Linked DNA regions of Arabidopsis thaliana. The protein of the gene in region 4 interacts with the protein of the main gene of each other region in a pairwise test. Each region holds a gene or a part of one and is shown on either strand. Other genes may lie near its edges.

Region 1 (4,698 bases), on a different chromosome or scaffold from region 4:
TGAAAGAGAGAGCTTCTTGGTGTAAATTCTTCTTATCTTATACAACTATCTGGTGCTAAAGAAAGCTTAATCCGTGTCACGGGCTTTATGTACATGGATGCCAATGGTGATTCACTCATTCTCATATAGACTATAGAGTGATGAAAGGATTAGTTTTGTTGTTTCAGAAGCTGTGGGGTTTCTTTATAATATTCGAACAATTTTGGCTCTGTTTCGTTATATATATACGAGGGTAATTTTGGAATTTCAAGATGAGATTTAGTGAATTAGGGTTTTTGACCAAAGGCTATAAAACTCGAGCAACCAAATCAATCAAATCTTCAAAACTACTTGATCTTATCTGAGCTGAGAAAAAGTGATTTATCGTTAGGGTTTCGGCCTTTTCGGGCCAATGAGCAACCCCAATATCCTTGGCTGGCGGCTCCGGTGACGGAAAGGTTTCGATTCCTTTTATCGTTAATTTCCCATTGTTTTCAGCGATGAAGACTGCTTGCTGCCTGAGCGCACGATTTTACTCGGCGCTGTGATGGCTATTGCGAGCTTTAACACCCACCCAACCAAATATTTATGTGTTTTTGAAAATTTTAGATTTTGATTATTTAAGGTTTCTTCTTCTAGCTTTTTGTTTTTGTTCGATTCGAATTTGTGGATTATGGTTTTGGTTTTCTGTTTTTGTTTTGTTTTGTTCTTATCAACTAGAAGAAAACTTAATTCGTGTGTAAGGCTTGTTGTTCCTAGTTAACTAGAGTTTCTTTGTAGCCTGAAATATAGATTTTGGATTACAAGTTAACTAAAATGCGTACTGCTTCTGTCTATAGTTTCCCAGACACTCGAGAAACTATAAGTTTGAAAAGATTCTTTCTTTTGTGTTATAACTATCGATTAGATCCAAGTAAAAGTTCAAAGAACCTAATTTAATCGGGTCATGTTGGATTTCTAGGAAGAAGATGAGAAGCTTATATTCAAACAGCAGCTGAGTTTGTCCCATTTATGGCTTCTTCTGGTATTGTGTCTTCTTTGATTGTCATTGGAAGGGACTCTTACTGTCTCTAATTCTAGAGCTGTGCGGCTTCTTCTGAGAGATCTTAGAGCCATTTGCAATGTTTCAGGTGCTATCAGTGGCTGTTCCATTACTCCAATGGTGTTTGAGCAAACAGGACAAGACGGGTCTCTGGTTTGAGCTGTTGGGGTTGCTTTGTCTAAACACTCAACATGGTAGACGTGATGGCAGGGGAAAACACCAGTGGCTGGCATGTCTCTGGATCTCAATATCTTGTATGAGCTCCATGGAGATTTCTGAGATAAAAGCTTCTTGCAAATCCCGCATCTTTGATGTGTCATTGAACCTTGTTCAGATCTCGGGTTTGCGACTTCTGTGTCATTGGATCTTTCAACATCTAGCAACATGTCATTGCTGCTCGAGTTTGGTGATACTTCTTCCTCTACTGGTGAGCCTTGGTGGTTTCTTGTGGACATCATGATACTGGAACCAGGATTTGTGGACGAGTCTTCTTGCGTATGATCAGGTTCAGGATTCTCACAAACTGAAACCGGGTTGCAGAAGACTCGAGGGTAAGAGCAGTGAGTAAGGCTGGAAGACTGATTGTTGGTCGGAGTCTCCCATGGGACAGATGACTCTGAAAGAGACAGCAACGATCTGAAACTCGTTGAGATGGCGGTACTGTCTCTATCAAAACCGTTCTCCTGAGCCGTAATTACATCAAAGAGCGACAAGGTTCAGCCAAAGATGAAACCAAGAAAAGCCCATCTTGAAGATTAATGACTTGATATGTAAAGAAGACCAAAATTACCTCGTTTAAGCATTGAGGATTTGAGCTATTTGGTCTTGTTAGACTATTATTAACCAAGGAGGTTTTCTGTTCGTTCCCATCAGAAGCAGATGAGTATGGAGCCCATCTTGGCGACTGCTGAAATCTGAATTCCAAACTTTTTCTTTGTCTACTGCTGCCCGAGTGCAATGCAAAAGCGGGACTCTCATCACTCATATCCTGTTCCAAACCATCTCTAGTATAGCCAGCAGCAGGTGAGAAGCTGAAATTTGTCCGCCATTGCAAGGCTTCAGCTTGACTTGATTGAGGAATATCCCTTCCGCTGTGGGGTGAAGATTTTGTTGTAACCAGTGGCCTTGAGGCCACAATACAACAGAGTGCACCCGTTTTGAGCTCTGGTTTATCCTCACCGCCTTCAAGGCCAAACAATGCTGCCAAAAGGAAGAGACTTGAAGAATGATTTCAGTTGAAACCAAAGTCGTCTTTTTGTAACTTGTAAACACTGTGGAAGGCTAAGTTAATGATTGTAATCTTACTTAATAAATGAAATTCTTGATTATACAGCCAAAATCCCCGAGTTTAGTGATTAGTATAAACACATTCATAAGTACCAAGCCATCTCTGCAGGGACAGGAACACACCTGAGACAAAATGGAAACAACAGTATTTGAGGATGCATATAAATTAAACTAACGCAATATTTAAGACAAAACACTAGATTCAGACTCGTAACAGCTGTTTTGAGCTCTTATAATCACAGAAGAAATTTAGACAGCAAAAGATTCATTGATGGAGAAACCAAAATAAACAAACCCAGGAAGAATTCGAGGAAGATAACCAAGTGTCGGTGAAAGCAGACTACAGATTATACAGAAAAGGAAGATTTTAAAAATCAAAGACAACAAACCTTCAAACTTTGGAAAATGATAACCTGGGTTTGAGAAAGAACTCTGTAATTTGGAGATGGCTGATATTTTGTAAAATCGATGAGAGTAAGAGAGAGCGCACTTCTCTTTACTTTTTCTTTGTCTCTTTTTTTTTTTTTTTTTTTTGAAATAAGAACGACAGAGACGACGACGACGGCTATGAGTTCTGTTCTGTAATGAGAGTGGCCAATTATTAACCCATTATTACTCCTTTTAAAAATTAGTATTTCTGGTTAATCCCCTCACTGATTTTTGTTGTTGTTTTTATTCTAACATTGGAATAATCACTAATGGCTATGATGTGATATGGCTATTATTAGAGTTACACATTATCTATTTTCATTAGGATATATAAAACTAAAAAAATATTAGTGAATCTTTAACAAAAAAGAAAAGAAGGTATTTACTATTTAGAGAAAGAAATGTGTTTTCATTTGAGTGAAATCCATTATAATATCAACTATTGTTATCTTAAAACCCAATTATTGGTATCATCGAATAAAGGTGTTTTCACTAGTACCTATCAAAATTCAACTTTCATCCTCAACTAACGAATAGATTACTCAATATTAAATCTTTGGTTAAGAGTACTGCAATATTGCTGAACTCCTAGTCTTAATTAGACAACTCTTTACGCAGTAATTTGCTACTTTTGACAGCAATTAACGCCTTTGATTAATCATTAATCTCTTACTTTTCTAACTCTTACTAAGTATTACTTTTCTTTCAAAAATTTCTTTCTTTTCAATATTTTTTTCACTTGCATAGCAAAACCATTTGCCCTTTTCTTTTTCTTGCTGAAAGATTAAAATTAAACATTTTTAAAAATGTGGGACTTCAGATTAAATTGTCTTTTTATGAACGAAACTAATGGACTTCATAAAGGCCCATAATATAATGTAGGCCTTTTTGGTCCAAACTATGGTCCATGGCATTACCATAAGCATATCTGCTTATTGTCTAACCTAATCCATTAAAAAGGTGAAAATTAAAGCAACAAAAATGAAATATGTATCGTTTGTAATGTTTTATTTTACATGTTTTAAAAGTGAAATGTTTTTTCATAACAAATCAGCTGTAAAAAGAAGCAACACATAGAAAATTGGTTCCACCTAAATAACTGCTCTGGACAACCGGTTAAGCAAAAAACATTTCCAAATGGTAAGAGGGTTTGATTCACACGTGTAGTCTATCGTTTAGAACCTAGGAGGTGGTACATTTGTATATAGTAAAATAAATTGTTTAAGCAGAAGGAAGAAGATAAGAGACAAAAGAAACGAAGCAATAGTAATCATCTAGAAACCTAAAAAGGGGAAGAGAACGGTTAGCTTTGCTGCAAGTATCGATCTAAAAGCTTCGCTTTAAATGGAAAGTCCTCTTTCTATGCACATTTTAATAATCCTCACATTCATGCATTTTTTTTTCTTTTTTCCAAAATATTACTAATATTTTATTCTAGTATATAATCTAGTTGTAACTACTGTAAGCAATGCTATGTTTATACACCAAAAAGTTTATGGATAATCTCAAATCCAAAATTGAACCAAAAAATAATAACAATAATCAGATTTATGTCCTGAATTTGAGGTGGAAGAGACTCACACGCTTTTTTGCAAATCATCATCATATAGTACATTGAACCAGAAGCCTCATTTATTTACGTACGGTTAATTGAGTTTTTATTTATTTATAACCGTTACATGATTATCTGTATATTAACGTTTAGAACTTTTTTGATAACACTATATGATTTTTAAGGGAATAAAAAAGGACTAATATAAGACTATATATCAAGAAAAATTGAAAACTATGTATTTGCATGGCATTATGTTTTTACATCTTTGATGTTAATGCCTTTTAATAATAACATTTACCAAGATGTTATTCCTTTGGTATTTTTCAAATCGGTGCATTTTCTTTAAAGGTGTTTGTCTTTGTCGTTTTATATATTAAAAAATATCAAAGAATTTAAAACAAAGAAT
Region 2 (5,317 bases), on a different chromosome or scaffold from region 4:
GACTGAAGACTTTAATTTTGTGATTTATTATAGAGAAACATGTATCAAATTTTGTAACTGACCAAAACCAAAAAATATTGCAATTTTCCAAGACAAAAGAAAAACCTAGATCAAGCTGTTTTCAATGGCTTTAATCCCGGTTTAAATTGATTGCATGGGGATACCAATCTTATCCTAGTGTGTCTTTACAAACGCAATATGCATTAAGATTATATTCGCTTTAATCCTAAATACGACCCACTATCTAAACATGTTGATATTATCTTGCCATACAAAATGATAGGATCTAAAACTCACAAATCATTGATCCGGTTCACATGCAACCCATATATGCTATATGAAACCTGAGGTATGAATATAAGTAATACAATAATTGCAAAATTGCAGTTTTAGAAATAAGAGTTTTGTTTAAAAACACATGTTCCTCTTCTAGCTATTCATATCATGATCAGTCGACGCCACCCAACAAAAGACATCATCTCAATGGGGCTTATACATCAATCAAACTTTGTTTTGTGTGAAGTAGAGGACGAAACAAGATAGTAGATACAACTTGCTTTTCTCGTGTTCTTCTACATGCAGGAACAGTCTGGCGCATGTTCAAAAGAGAATTAATCGCCTAAACAGTACATCATTAATGATACAATCTTGTGACTGTTCTCGTCTTGTGTTAAAGGTTCTCTATTGTTTCTCCCTACGATGTATGCATGCTCTGATTAACGAACGTTGACATGAAAAAACCGGTTTGTTAATTATCTTCATATTTCTTGTAAAAACGCTGTTTTGTTTAAATTAAAATGTATCAACCTATATATAACATTAAAGAAAAAAAGGAAGAAAAATAAGTTTAATAAATTTAAAACACGATAATTAAACGTATCTAGTGAAGATTTTTTGCACGACAAACCCTTTTGCTTTAATCACAAATAAAAGTCTATAAGATCAAACCAAATATTTTCCCCTTTTCCTTTTGTCTTCTTCTATATTCCTCTATCATTCAATAAAACATGTCAACCCTTTTGCTCCATCTGTTTTTTATCCGGTCCTATCTAAGAAAAACAAAACACTAACCGGATAATCAATCTATTCGTCTTTCAAAATAGCGGTCTCTAATAAAATATGAAAAGTAAAATAAATATATACACAAGAAGACAACTTTTAAAACCACTCTAGCTCGACCGTTTGCTCAAACTGTATTTCGCAGGTGCTTTCATGAAACTTGTTTGGCCGGCCGAGGCTTAACCGGAATCAATGATGACGTGGACAAACAGAGGTTGTGGGCAGCTGACGTGGAGGGCTGTGCTGCTGAAGTGGCAACACGTTCACAAGAAGGGCACATAGTGAGAGTAGTGGCCGGAAGTTGCATGTAAAAGGGTGTGGAAGTCTTCAAGGTTCTCAATTCTTTAACCTCTTTTTGAAGCCTCCGGTTTTCTTCGGTTAGTGACTCACAGCATCTCTTTAGGTATTCACAGTCCACTTCCGTTTGCTTCAGCTTTGTCCTATTATCATTTATCAATCACATAACCCCCACCAACAATATGAGACTTTGTTTTTGTAAAGATTAAAGAAGACGTTTTTTTTTGGGTTCAAATTATATAAAGAAGGATTATGAATTTTTTTCTTTTTGTGAATAAGTCACTATAAGCAATTATATATGGAAATGATGAGCGGAAGTGATATACTACTTTTGCACGAAAAATGACAAGGATAGACATGCGACAATTTGTTATTATTACTCGTGATGCATTTTTCGTCCTCATCCCTCTTTTCAGAAATTAATCATAGCAAAAAAATATACTTCCAATGAAGAAAATAAACCGTTTACACAGGAAGAAAATGAAGATAAATAATTAATGATATAAGCTAACCTGGCTCGTCTGTTTTGAAACCAGACTTCAACCTGACGAGGACGAAGATTCAACTGCTTCGCCAATGCAATCTTCTGTTTCTGCAATGTTTTAGAAAGAAAAAAAAAAGCATTAAGGCTAAAATTTGGTACTAAAAAAATAGAATAAATTCAAGAAAGACAAATTTTAAATAAATAAAAACTGTAAAGAATGGGACACGAACAGGATTAAGGGTACTGTGTTCTTTGAAGCTGTCTTCAAGAAAAGCAGATTGGTCTTTGGAGAGTCTAAGTTTCTTCCTAGTGGATCCATTCTCGTCATCGTTGTCTTCGTTGCTGGCTCTTGAAGCTGATCTCTCCACTTCATCATCAATATCTCTCTTATTGCTTCTTCTCTCATAACCATAACTTTTAATCCCAAAGTCCAATTGAAACGACGACGTTACACTATCCGGCGGCGATACTGACATACTAGGCACCGCTTCCTCCTCCTCCTCTTCCTCCTCCACAACCGTAGCTGCTCCTAAGGGCATTCTTCCTCCTTGTCGACCTGTAAATTTGGTTTATTAAATTAGTATATTGTTTCTATTGTAATCCTGAGCGAATATTCAAACTGATATGTGAAAAGTTAGGTATTCTTGTTAATCAAATACATCCACAATAGATATTTTTTTTCTTTGGATTTAAATAATACTTTAATTAAAAGATGGTTCTTCTTTCTTGTCACAAATCAGTCAAAACATTTTTGGAAAATGATTTCAACATCCCATCGACACATTTAAGCCAAATCGGACTCTCTCTATATATATATCCAGAAAAGATATTAATATTCTTATAGTCGTAAGAAAAAAAACATGTAAGCCAAATTAGGGATTCTAATATAAGAAATCGAATGTTATGAATAACATCGACTTTCTTTTGTTTCTTTTGTGTCTAGTGTGTACGTATATAATCACACCATTTAAGTAAGAGAAATTATAGCCCTATGCCCATTTTTTATTTTAAAATATAAAAAATAAAATAAGAACCTTTACTGTTCTCAGGGAGCCAATTAGGGAAGTGAAGCTGAAGCTGTAATGGTGGATCTACAGAAGACGAAACCCTAAATTCGTCAGATTTTTTTGCTCTGGGCGCCGGTTTCTTCTTCTCATCCTCTACCGACGGAGACGAAGAGGATGACAACGATCTGTGACCACCAAAAGCAACATCTAAAGCCATGCAGAACCCAAGATCCTTCTCGGAAGTAGATGTCGACGAGACAGAGGGATTATTAATCTTCGAGTTCTTCTCCATAAAAGAGAACTGTTTCTTAGTATTGTCGCCTAGAGACAACGCTAGTTCCATCTCTTACGAAGAAAATAAGAGTTTTAGAGAGAGAGATTGAGAGAGAGGAACAAGAAGATCTGTTGTGGCCTTATGGAGTGGTGACATGAAAGTGAAACCCCACTTATTTATTTCCTATGTTCAATGTATTTAAATAATATTATTTATGTATATGAACAAATATTGGATCTTCATCCTATAAATTCCTTAAGACATGTGATTTAAGTCATCATTCTTTTTAGTGGTATATGAATAGGGCATGTATTTATGTAATTATATATTTTTTAATATATGTGAACAATGTTTCAAATTTTTTTTTGTGGAAAGAGTATATCTCTAACCGGTCAAATGATAATCAACTTTATATGCCAAAGAGAATATAAGAAAAAAAATTATATCAAAAAATGAAGAAAACATGAGATATTTTCCTTTTTTTAATTTCTTGTCAATACCGAGAAATGTAGTGTATTTTGGGGTTGATATGGATTTGGGAGATTGACCGACAACCGCCATTCACATACGCACGTGAATACATATAAATGTATACCACATTCTTACACGAGACTGGCGCCTTGTGTGTTTGTTATTAACCCCTCTCTATATTTTCCTTATGTTTGTTTTTATTCTACAAGGAATCAGTTTGTTTTCATGACAATCAAAATTTCGTATGCAATACTTCCATTTCAAGATACTTCCAAATTTTATGGAAAAAAAATCTCAGATAGAGTGAAAATTGAATTTATAAAGATAAATACATATCTGAGCATGCAAAAAGCAACTATTTCTATAAAGCTTATGATTTTCGGAGACTCGTTTAATTAGTCCATCGATCACAATGCAGCCATTGAAGAAGATCGGCTAAAAAACAGTTTCATCTACTTTTTATTTTTGCTACATTTTTAGTACTCCACATATTGAAGAAACCAATTAAGGAATCGTGATTTTTCTTGAAGATGTGAGACTGTGTTTGTTGAACATTATTGAAGACCATAATTAGTTTGACCGGCCAGCGTAATTCTTGGTCACACGTTAATAATGGGAACTTTGATTTTCTTAAGTTTTAAGAGATTTAAACGAAAGTGGAAGTGGTTGGAAAAAGAATTAGGGTATATAATAATTGGAAGTAAAAAAAGGGACATAGTGACGGTTTGACATCGTAGTTACCGTTTAATGCTGTAGCTAAATTTCTAAATCAATGGTCGGTGAAAAGGAAAATTAAAGCTAAAGTGCAACATTTTAATGTTTGTAGAGTACTAACGTTTTGATTCACATAACTAAGGCCCGTTTGTTTCTCCATCCAAATGAATTATCTAGATAGAGATAAAAAATGATGTTTGTTTTTCACAATTTAACATATTATTTGGATGAATCACTAGGATGATCCATCTGAATGACTTTGTAAATTTAGACAAATTTTTAAAACTCATTTAGATGGACATAGTTGACCATTTGGATGGAGATGATTTAGTTAAAAAGAATAAATGACAAATATAACGTTTGTAATAATACTAATTTTCAATAAAGTTTTTTTATTTTTTAAAATTACATATTGCACCCAAAAAAAAAAAAAAATTAGGAAATCACGGACTATTATTTTACGTCAAAATTGTATTCATTTTTCCGCCAAAACCGCAAAATCATATTTTCCCGCCAAAACTTCAAAATCATGTTTTTCTGTTAAAACTTTAAAATCATGTTTTCCCGCCAAAACCGTAAGACCATGTTTTCCCGCCAAAACTTCAAAATCATGTTTTTCTGTTAAAACTTCAAAATCATGTTTTCCCGCCAAAACCGTAAAATCATGTTTTCCCGCCAAAACTTCAAAATCATGTTTTCTCGCCAAAACTTCAAAATCATATTTTTCCGCCAAAACCGTAATATCATGTTTTCCCGCCAAAACTGTAAAATATTTTTTTCACCAAAACCGTAAATTCATGTTTTCCCGCCAAAACTTCAAAATCATGTTTTTCCGCCAAAACCGTAATATCATATTTTCCCGTCAAAACGGTAAAATCATGTTTTCCCGTCAAAACGGTAAAATCATGTTTTCCCGCCAAAACCGTAATATCATGTTTTCCCGGCAAAACCGCAAAATCATGTTTTCCCGCCAAAGCCATAATATCATGTTTTCCCACTAAAACCATAAAA
Region 3 (3,620 bases), 4.9 Mb from region 4:
TTAGAAGATGGAGAGAAAGAAAGAGATTAAGATCTGATTCAAGAAGCGTTTATCAAATATATGTGAAGTTAACATTGCAACGAATGTCTAAGATTCGAATATTGTGCATGTGGTTCACTCGAACTAATCATAAAGTTAACCTATCTGGTATTCAGGAAACGACGGTGGATTCGATTCATCCAAATTAAAATTTTAAATTATTGTATTAATTTAAACTTGAATGACGGCATGAATCTAGATGAACAGTTGTTTACAACTGTAAGCGAGGAGGTATCTACGTATGTTGTAGATTTTGTGGGGGCCTATTTACAAAAGGTTATTTTCTGAATTTCCTTTTTCTTACACATGGTTTTGAGATTATAATAGATTAATACGCAAGGGCCGTTCAAATTTGCCATGTGCTATAGGATAACATTGTTAATAAAAAATTAAATCATGAGATTAAAATTTTGAGTTAATGAATATTCTGAAATGTCTTTTTCATTTTTCTAACATGGTTCTGAGTTTATAGCAGAGTAATATATAATCTGATTAAAACGAACGTTGTTGCGGCACGGAGCTATGATAAATTGATGATAATTAGTGACAAAAAACTAAAATGATATAATTGAAGTATTACAAATCGTAATTTTTCTAGAAGATGAAGGAAGTTTGCATGGGAAGCAATCTTAATTTGAGGTGTTTCAAAATTTATTAAACCCTTAATGGTGAGACGTCATATAACTATATATATTAGCACTCGTGCTTGTCGGACTTATAACTTTAGCCTAATCTTAAACTGTTTCTGGCCAGCTTTGTGTCATTGGGCCTGAAATAAAAGAGTTTCTCCCTTTTGTTTTGCTCTTCTAGACTTTTGGCATTGAATAGGGAAGATTAAATAATCTCTAACTACGAGTCTACGACTTCATAAATTAATTGTTTCATGAGAGATAACAATGATATTTCAAATATATCTACGTTGATAAACTTATATAATCGTTCCAAGTCTTCAATGAATACGGAAATCAACATACTAATTTAAATGCTTAAATCGTGAAACAGATTAAAACATAAACGTAGTTTATTCATAATTCGAAATTTTACCACAATTTCCCTTTAAAGCTACTCGTAACGCTTAGCTGGTCTGAATTCGCTCTCGAATGAACTCCTCCGCCGCAGCCGTAACCGCCACACTTCGCCACCGTCCTCACACTTTCCACCAACGCTTCCGTTTCCACATCCTCCGCAAGAATTTCCGCCAACTGCTCCGGACTTATCACAAGCCTCACCTTCCACACTCCACAACCACCGCCACTCAAAGCCGCCATTATCGGCGTCTTCCCGAAAGACATTCTGTACGGCGTTGATAGTTGGTCGGAGGAATCCAGTTGAGCGGTCGCGGCTGCGGAAGAAGAAAGAGGAAGGAGGTAGTAGATGTTACCGGGAAAGAGTTCTTCGCCGTGGAGAAGCGGTGGAGATGAGTGGCGGAGGCTTAAAGAGTCGTGGATGACATGGCCGGGAAATTCGTTGGTGATGAATTCGGCGAAGATGGGAGGATGAAGCTCCATCACGCCACCGTTTGGAGTCACCACTTTTATCAACGAATCATCTTTATCGTATAATTTTCTTGAACCACCATTGCCTTTGAATACGCAGTTACCCATTTTTGCTACATAAGTTAGAAATAATAACTGATTATTTTGTGTATATGTAATGTATGGAATCCAAAGAAAACCCCAAGACGGAGAAGGGTTTAAGACAAACGTTTTCTTTGAGCAGATGAAGTATATATCTTTACGACGTAAAGAAAAAATGAAAATTGCGAATGGTCCACCACTTTTCTTGTAAACAAAAGGACCGAAGATATTGTGCTTGCGATATTATCATCATTACTATTATTTTAGTCTTTGAAAGATAAATGATTATTATTTTTGGTTATTTGAGAATTGAGAGTAATTGGCAATGGTCTGTTTGTAGAACAATTGACAACAAGTAGAAAACATTTGAAGGTAAAATAAAAAATGAACTAATTTCTGTAGAATAATTGGCAGATTAATAAATAAAATAAAACCTTATCTAAACAAATTACAAAAAGTAAGATAAATGGTTTTCCTTAACCTATTTTCCATTTAGAAAGGTAAGTGATAGGGGTAATAATGTTCACGTGAGGTCAAAAGGTGAAAAGGCCGACAGAGACAAAAAGACTTTAATCTTTGTAAAATTATTATGGATGATTAATGAATTTAACCATTTTACCAAATTGTTAGAAAACCTCCACGAAAACTAATTCTATAAATTTATAAATGGAACGTGTGAAACTATGGACCAAACAGAGTACATCTTATCAGATCAACAGAGTATATAATTGCATGTTGTTTTTACTCGAATTGATTAATATAATGTCACATAACTTGTGTGGATCCATGTCCTACAACAATATAACATTTTGTCTTTTTATATTATACGGAGTTCAAAAAAGAAAGATTCTGGAATACGAAGGAAAAAAAACAGTAGTACCTTTCGGTGCACTCAATTACGTACACCAACAATTTCTTGGCGGGTCATTATTAATTTCAAGGGTCCTAATGGGCAATGGCCCATATTACATACTCTTCTTTTTTTCTTCCTATTATTTAAATTATATTAGAGAGCTTTGAGCCCACCATAGTGCAAAATATATTGTTTTTAAAAAGACCACTAGCTAATTGTCACAGTCTCTCACATACCACATGCTGAAATTGCAAATACTAACAAAGAATCAAGATTTGTAGAAATACAAATGATATTTTATTCATTTATTGTTTTTGTCAGTTTGATTTATTATTTTTGTAAAAAAAAACAAAAAACAAGTGAGATAGTGTATCGGTGTTTAGTTAGGGACTTAAATGTGATTTTGGTTCATATGTACTTTTTGCTAGCCTAAATTAAACTGAGTTTAGTATAAATTGTTCTGTACAATCTTGGTCTTGGTTTCTGTCTGATACTTTTTTAATTATTTATTTTAAGTTTCTTAATTATAAAGAAAAGAAGTTCATTTGAGCCTAACATCAACAAACTATATGGCCCAAACCATTGCCAACACTAATAATGGGCTAAACTTCACTGAATGGAACTACATAATGGGCCTCACGAAAAACTACATTATGAATTTCTTCTTTGTGGTCCTGATTATGACATTGCCTTCTTTTGTGAACAGAAAAAACTAATGACATTGCCTTCTTTGATGAGCTTTGCTAAACGGGGATCTTACATACAAAAATTTAATCTAATCGAAACCCAATCAGAAAAAACGGGGAGGTTCTCCGTTTCCGTTCGATCTAATATTTTATTTTGATATAAAACGAGAAATAGGTGATGATTAGTATTAAATTAGAGGTTTAAGGTGACAAAATCCCGGGGATAAAGACCGTACTTTAAGATAGTTGACGCGTGAAACACACCCTGTGTTATGTTATGGGTTTTAATTTACTTAGATTCCACGTCAGCAGATACGTGAACCAGAACAACACTTAATAATTCCGTCTAATAACCTCGCATGCCCCATGCATCGTAGTTCACATTCTTACTCAACTCCTTCCTCATTTATCATTCCAATAAACTTTACCCAAATGGTTTCAAACCGAGATCTAACCGTACTTGAC
Region 4 (3,679 bases):
GATCGTAAACTCGGCATTTTTTAGGATTTAAATTTGAACATATTATCTGTAGTACACGATTGATTTAAACCATAGTCTACGAAGTACATAATTAAAATTAATCCTCTCTCTTATCAAAAATATTCATACATTTATCAAGTTTCTGTAAGTAAATGTACGTATATGCACAAACACAAAATAATAGTACACACATATATACTATTTAAAGCGACCTAAGAGATTAAAGTAGATGAAATAAGCATGTTAATGCAATAATTATACCCATCATCTCCATGCATATGTCTTTACGTGTGTTTGATTATTTGTTTTCAGAATAATCATCAATTTTCATTGAACGAACGTTTTCAAAGATGATTACAACAAATCAAATGAATCACATATGGGTCAGCCAATTATATTCAAATCATGCAATCCGTCCATTCTCTTTTTTATTTTCCACGTTCCTCGATTGTGAATGTCACTCCATCTCTTGTTACTTTAACATCAAGCATTTAACTAACTAATCACTGTAATTACTAATTAGGTTTTGTTCTGTTGGTTAATAAATGTCATAGTTAGATTTTAATACTCCATATAGTATATAATAGCTGATCGTTGAGGAATTGACATAGCTAATGTTGACAACGTAACTAATGAATTTTATCCCTAATTCCCAAGTAATTCACTAAATGGTATTCATGATTTTTTTTTTTTTTTTTTTTGGTTGGCAAAGAAGAGGAAGTAAAGTAGCTGGAAACATAAATCATCTCTTATCTGAGCATATTGTTTTCCTTCGATTTCAAGAAAATAAAAAGGAAGGACTATATAATATTACCAAACTCGAAAATGAAAACAAATTAAATTTAACTACAAAATAAAATTTAAATTAAACCAACATTCTCTTTCTCTTCAAATATCCATTTATAATAACAATAATTAAGAGAAACAAATAAATACTTATGTTATGGCCTAAACCTTTGTCTGCAAGAGTGGCAAGTGATCTCCAAGCAAGCCGTATCGATCTTCGTCATTGATCTCTCCTTCAATCTCTCAGCTCTCTCCACTTCTTCCCTTGCCTTCTGCCACATCACCCTGGTTACAATTCAAAACCGTTAACCAAACCAAAACCAGAATTATTACTTGATCGAGCTAGCTTTAACTACCTTGCACGAGCAAACTCAGACTGAGCCATCTCCATCTCACGGCGAGTCAACTCTCTAACCCTCTCGGCGTAAGCCTTCTCTATAGCCGCAAGCCTTATCTGCTCCGCGGCTTGCCACTTCAACGCCTCCACACCACCGTTTGGAAGCTCCTCCGCTGTTGAGATCGAGCTGAGGCTGATGGAGAGTTTGAGGTCAAGATCGTGGTGGATCATGGAGGAGGAACGGTGGTGATTGTTGTGATGGTCGGTTGTTATAACTGTTGGTCGGTGTTTCCTTACCGGAGATTCGGTAGACGGTGGAGAAGGTAAAAGCTGAAGCTCTTTGTGATGATCTTGTTGTTCAGCCATTTTTGTATTCTTGTTTGTTTTTTTTGGCTAAAAGGCTGCACTTCTCAATAAGTGTGGGGATGGCAATTACCAATCACTTTATATGTAAGCTGCTTCGTGTCTGTGCACATATACTATCTACTTGAAATTACACTTATAACCCCTTATTCGAATATGCATATCTTTTTGGGTTATTTGATCATTGGGTTTTTATATAATCCTCAAAGTTAACAAACGACCACCGTACCGCCATTATGTGAATTTGTTGTCAAGTGTGGTTCCATGATAAGACGAAATGATGTGATTGTACAACAATCAACTAAAGTTAAAAATAGGTTAGATATATAAGATTTTTTAAGTTTTGTCGAGTTACAAAATAAATAGTCACCAATAACCAAATTTTTAGAATGTTTTATAATGATGAACATGTTATTTGCGTTTATGTCGAAATAATATAAACATGTAAACGCAAACGTGATTAATGTTGTTTTTTACGTTAAAGCTACTATATATTATGACATAACTTGCAATTGCAAAATTTCATTGTTTTTTTTTTTTCCAAAACATAAGAGGAGCATACTTGTAAAGTGAAAATAATGGAGGGTAGGTTAGTAAAACGAAGATAGAAATAGGAAGAAAAAAAATAGTTAAGGTGTAGAGAAAATCTCCGTTGAAGAAAAGACAGAGAAGATGGGATATAAACGGATCACGTTATTGAAGCATGAGAGGCTTTTTAAAGAAACCCTTTTCACTTTTTCATCATCTATCTCATTTTATATGTTTTTGTAACTAATAACTTTGCGATTGTATATTTGTTAATTAACGTATCCTTTTAAAAAAATGAAAATGTGGATGTGGGTTGTGTAATAATTGGTGATGCACGTGGCTTAATGGATTCAAAAGCTAGCAACTAGCTCACTTACTATGTGCTTAGTCCGTATATATTAGTAATTTAATCAAATTCTTCTCATATAACAGTTTATATTTTATTTATATATGTGATTTAAATAGTTGAAAGATTATAACAGATTTATAGGATTGAGAATTCGGAAACTAGGGTTTGAGTCTTTCCGCTGCAATCTCAATTACATTAATTAGTATAGACGCTCTAAATGACAAAAAAAAACAAAATTCCACAGGTTTAATAGCTAATCTGAATTGTGTTGTGATCTACGATTGCCTGGTCGTTATGTTTTAAATACATTTTGTTATTTATAGATAAAAATGTACGTAATGCTTTCAATGTTTTTTTTTTAAAGTTATTAACTTGTTTCATGTGTTTCATAGTTTCATGTACGTTTCCAATTATTTGTTATTTTTCAAACTTTGTTCGTTTCCACTTTATGTTTTCTTAATCTATCCAGTTCATATTACATTACATTAGACAAAAGAAAACTAAATAGCGAAATAAAACTAAAACTTATATAGGTATACACAACCGTGCCTACCAATAAAAAAGTCAGAGACGGTATCTTAAAAGCGCAAAATAAGAATATAGAACTATAGTTATAAAAAAAAATTTTGAAAGGTAATGTCAATTTTTTCACAAGATCATTAACCAAAATTTCAAAATCAATCTTTTATAACCTTTTTGTGAATTGAAAAGATTGTCAAAACATCAACGATACAAAAAAGTTTAAATCCATAGTTAATAGAAATATAGAAGAGATGGTTGAGATATCAAATCTGGACCGGTATAGTTTTTTTTATCCAAAAAATATATTGGTAGCACTCAATACTAAAAAAAATAAAAAAAAATAACAAATAATAAAATAAATGATTCAATAACACATAATTTTTGAAAAAAATGAAATTAACCAAAATCTGTTAATTGCCATAATTTTCTGCTGAGAAGAGAAAGCACAATCAGTAAACCAATCTAGTTATTAACCGAAACCTAAACCAACAATCATATGAACCGAATGATAGACCTGCCTTAACCGGAATGGCGGGGATTTTCACTCTCTTATAGTTTCCCGCTACATTTAATAGTGAAGAGAGAAGAGCAAAGATTTTTCTGGATAAATCTGTTTTATCGATTTTGAAGCTCCCCATGAACTCTCGAGATCTTACACTCGTCTCTACATCTGCAATCTTCGGTGCTTTGATTTCAGCTCTAGCATTTCGCTTCTTCTCATCAAACCCTAAAAACCCCAAATCCCGAAAATTCACTTCCACCGAAATCTCTGCAATTTCCAGAAAATTCCCTGC

What was found.
Region 1: the proteins of AT3G48550 (region 4) and AT5G18260 interact in a two-hybrid assay, tested with the Arabidopsis thaliana proteins (one large-scale study listed by BioGRID).
Region 2: the proteins of AT3G48550 (region 4) and HAT14 interact in a two-hybrid assay, tested with the Arabidopsis thaliana proteins (one large-scale study listed by BioGRID).
Region 3: the proteins of AT3G48550 (region 4) and AT3G61920 interact in a two-hybrid assay, tested with the Arabidopsis thaliana proteins (one large-scale study listed by BioGRID).

Annotation. Positions count from the first base shown.
Region 1 is NC_003076.8:6,035,290-6,039,987, forward strand, and holds AT5G18260 (RING/U-box superfamily protein), read right to left. Parts: upstream 2,818-4,698; 5' UTR 2,698-2,817; intron 2,432-2,697; 5' UTR 2,327-2,431; exon of another isoform or gene 2,222-2,326; 5' UTR 2,007-2,221; coding exon 1,812-2,006; exon of another isoform or gene 1,705-1,811; coding exon 937-1,704; 3' UTR 913-936; downstream 1-912.
Region 2 is NC_003076.8:2,067,095-2,072,411, forward strand, and holds HAT14 (homeobox leucine zipper protein), read right to left. Parts: upstream 3,473-5,317; 5' UTR 3,191-3,472; coding exon 2,875-3,190; intron 2,397-2,874; coding exon 2,071-2,396; coding exon of another isoform or gene 1,999-2,070; exon of another isoform or gene 1,949-1,998; coding exon 1,869-1,948; coding exon of another isoform or gene 1,769-1,868; exon of another isoform or gene 1,500-1,768; coding exon 1,211-1,499; 3' UTR 865-1,210; downstream 1-864. UniProt on the Arabidopsis thaliana protein: Probable transcription factor.
Region 3 is NC_003074.8:22,931,559-22,935,178, forward strand, and holds AT3G61920 (UvrABC system protein C), read right to left. Parts: upstream 1,805-3,620; 5' UTR 1,644-1,804; coding exon 1,080-1,643; 3' UTR 896-1,079; downstream 1-895.
Region 4 is NC_003074.8:17,991,858-17,995,536, reverse strand, and holds AT3G48550 (SHOOT GRAVITROPISM-like protein), read right to left. Parts: upstream 1,719-3,679; 5' UTR 1,490-1,718; coding exon 1,143-1,489; intron 1,072-1,142; coding exon 942-1,071; 3' UTR 758-941; downstream 1-757. Other genes in the region: AT3G48540 (Cytidine/deoxycytidylate deaminase family protein), read left to right, coding at 3,522-3,679.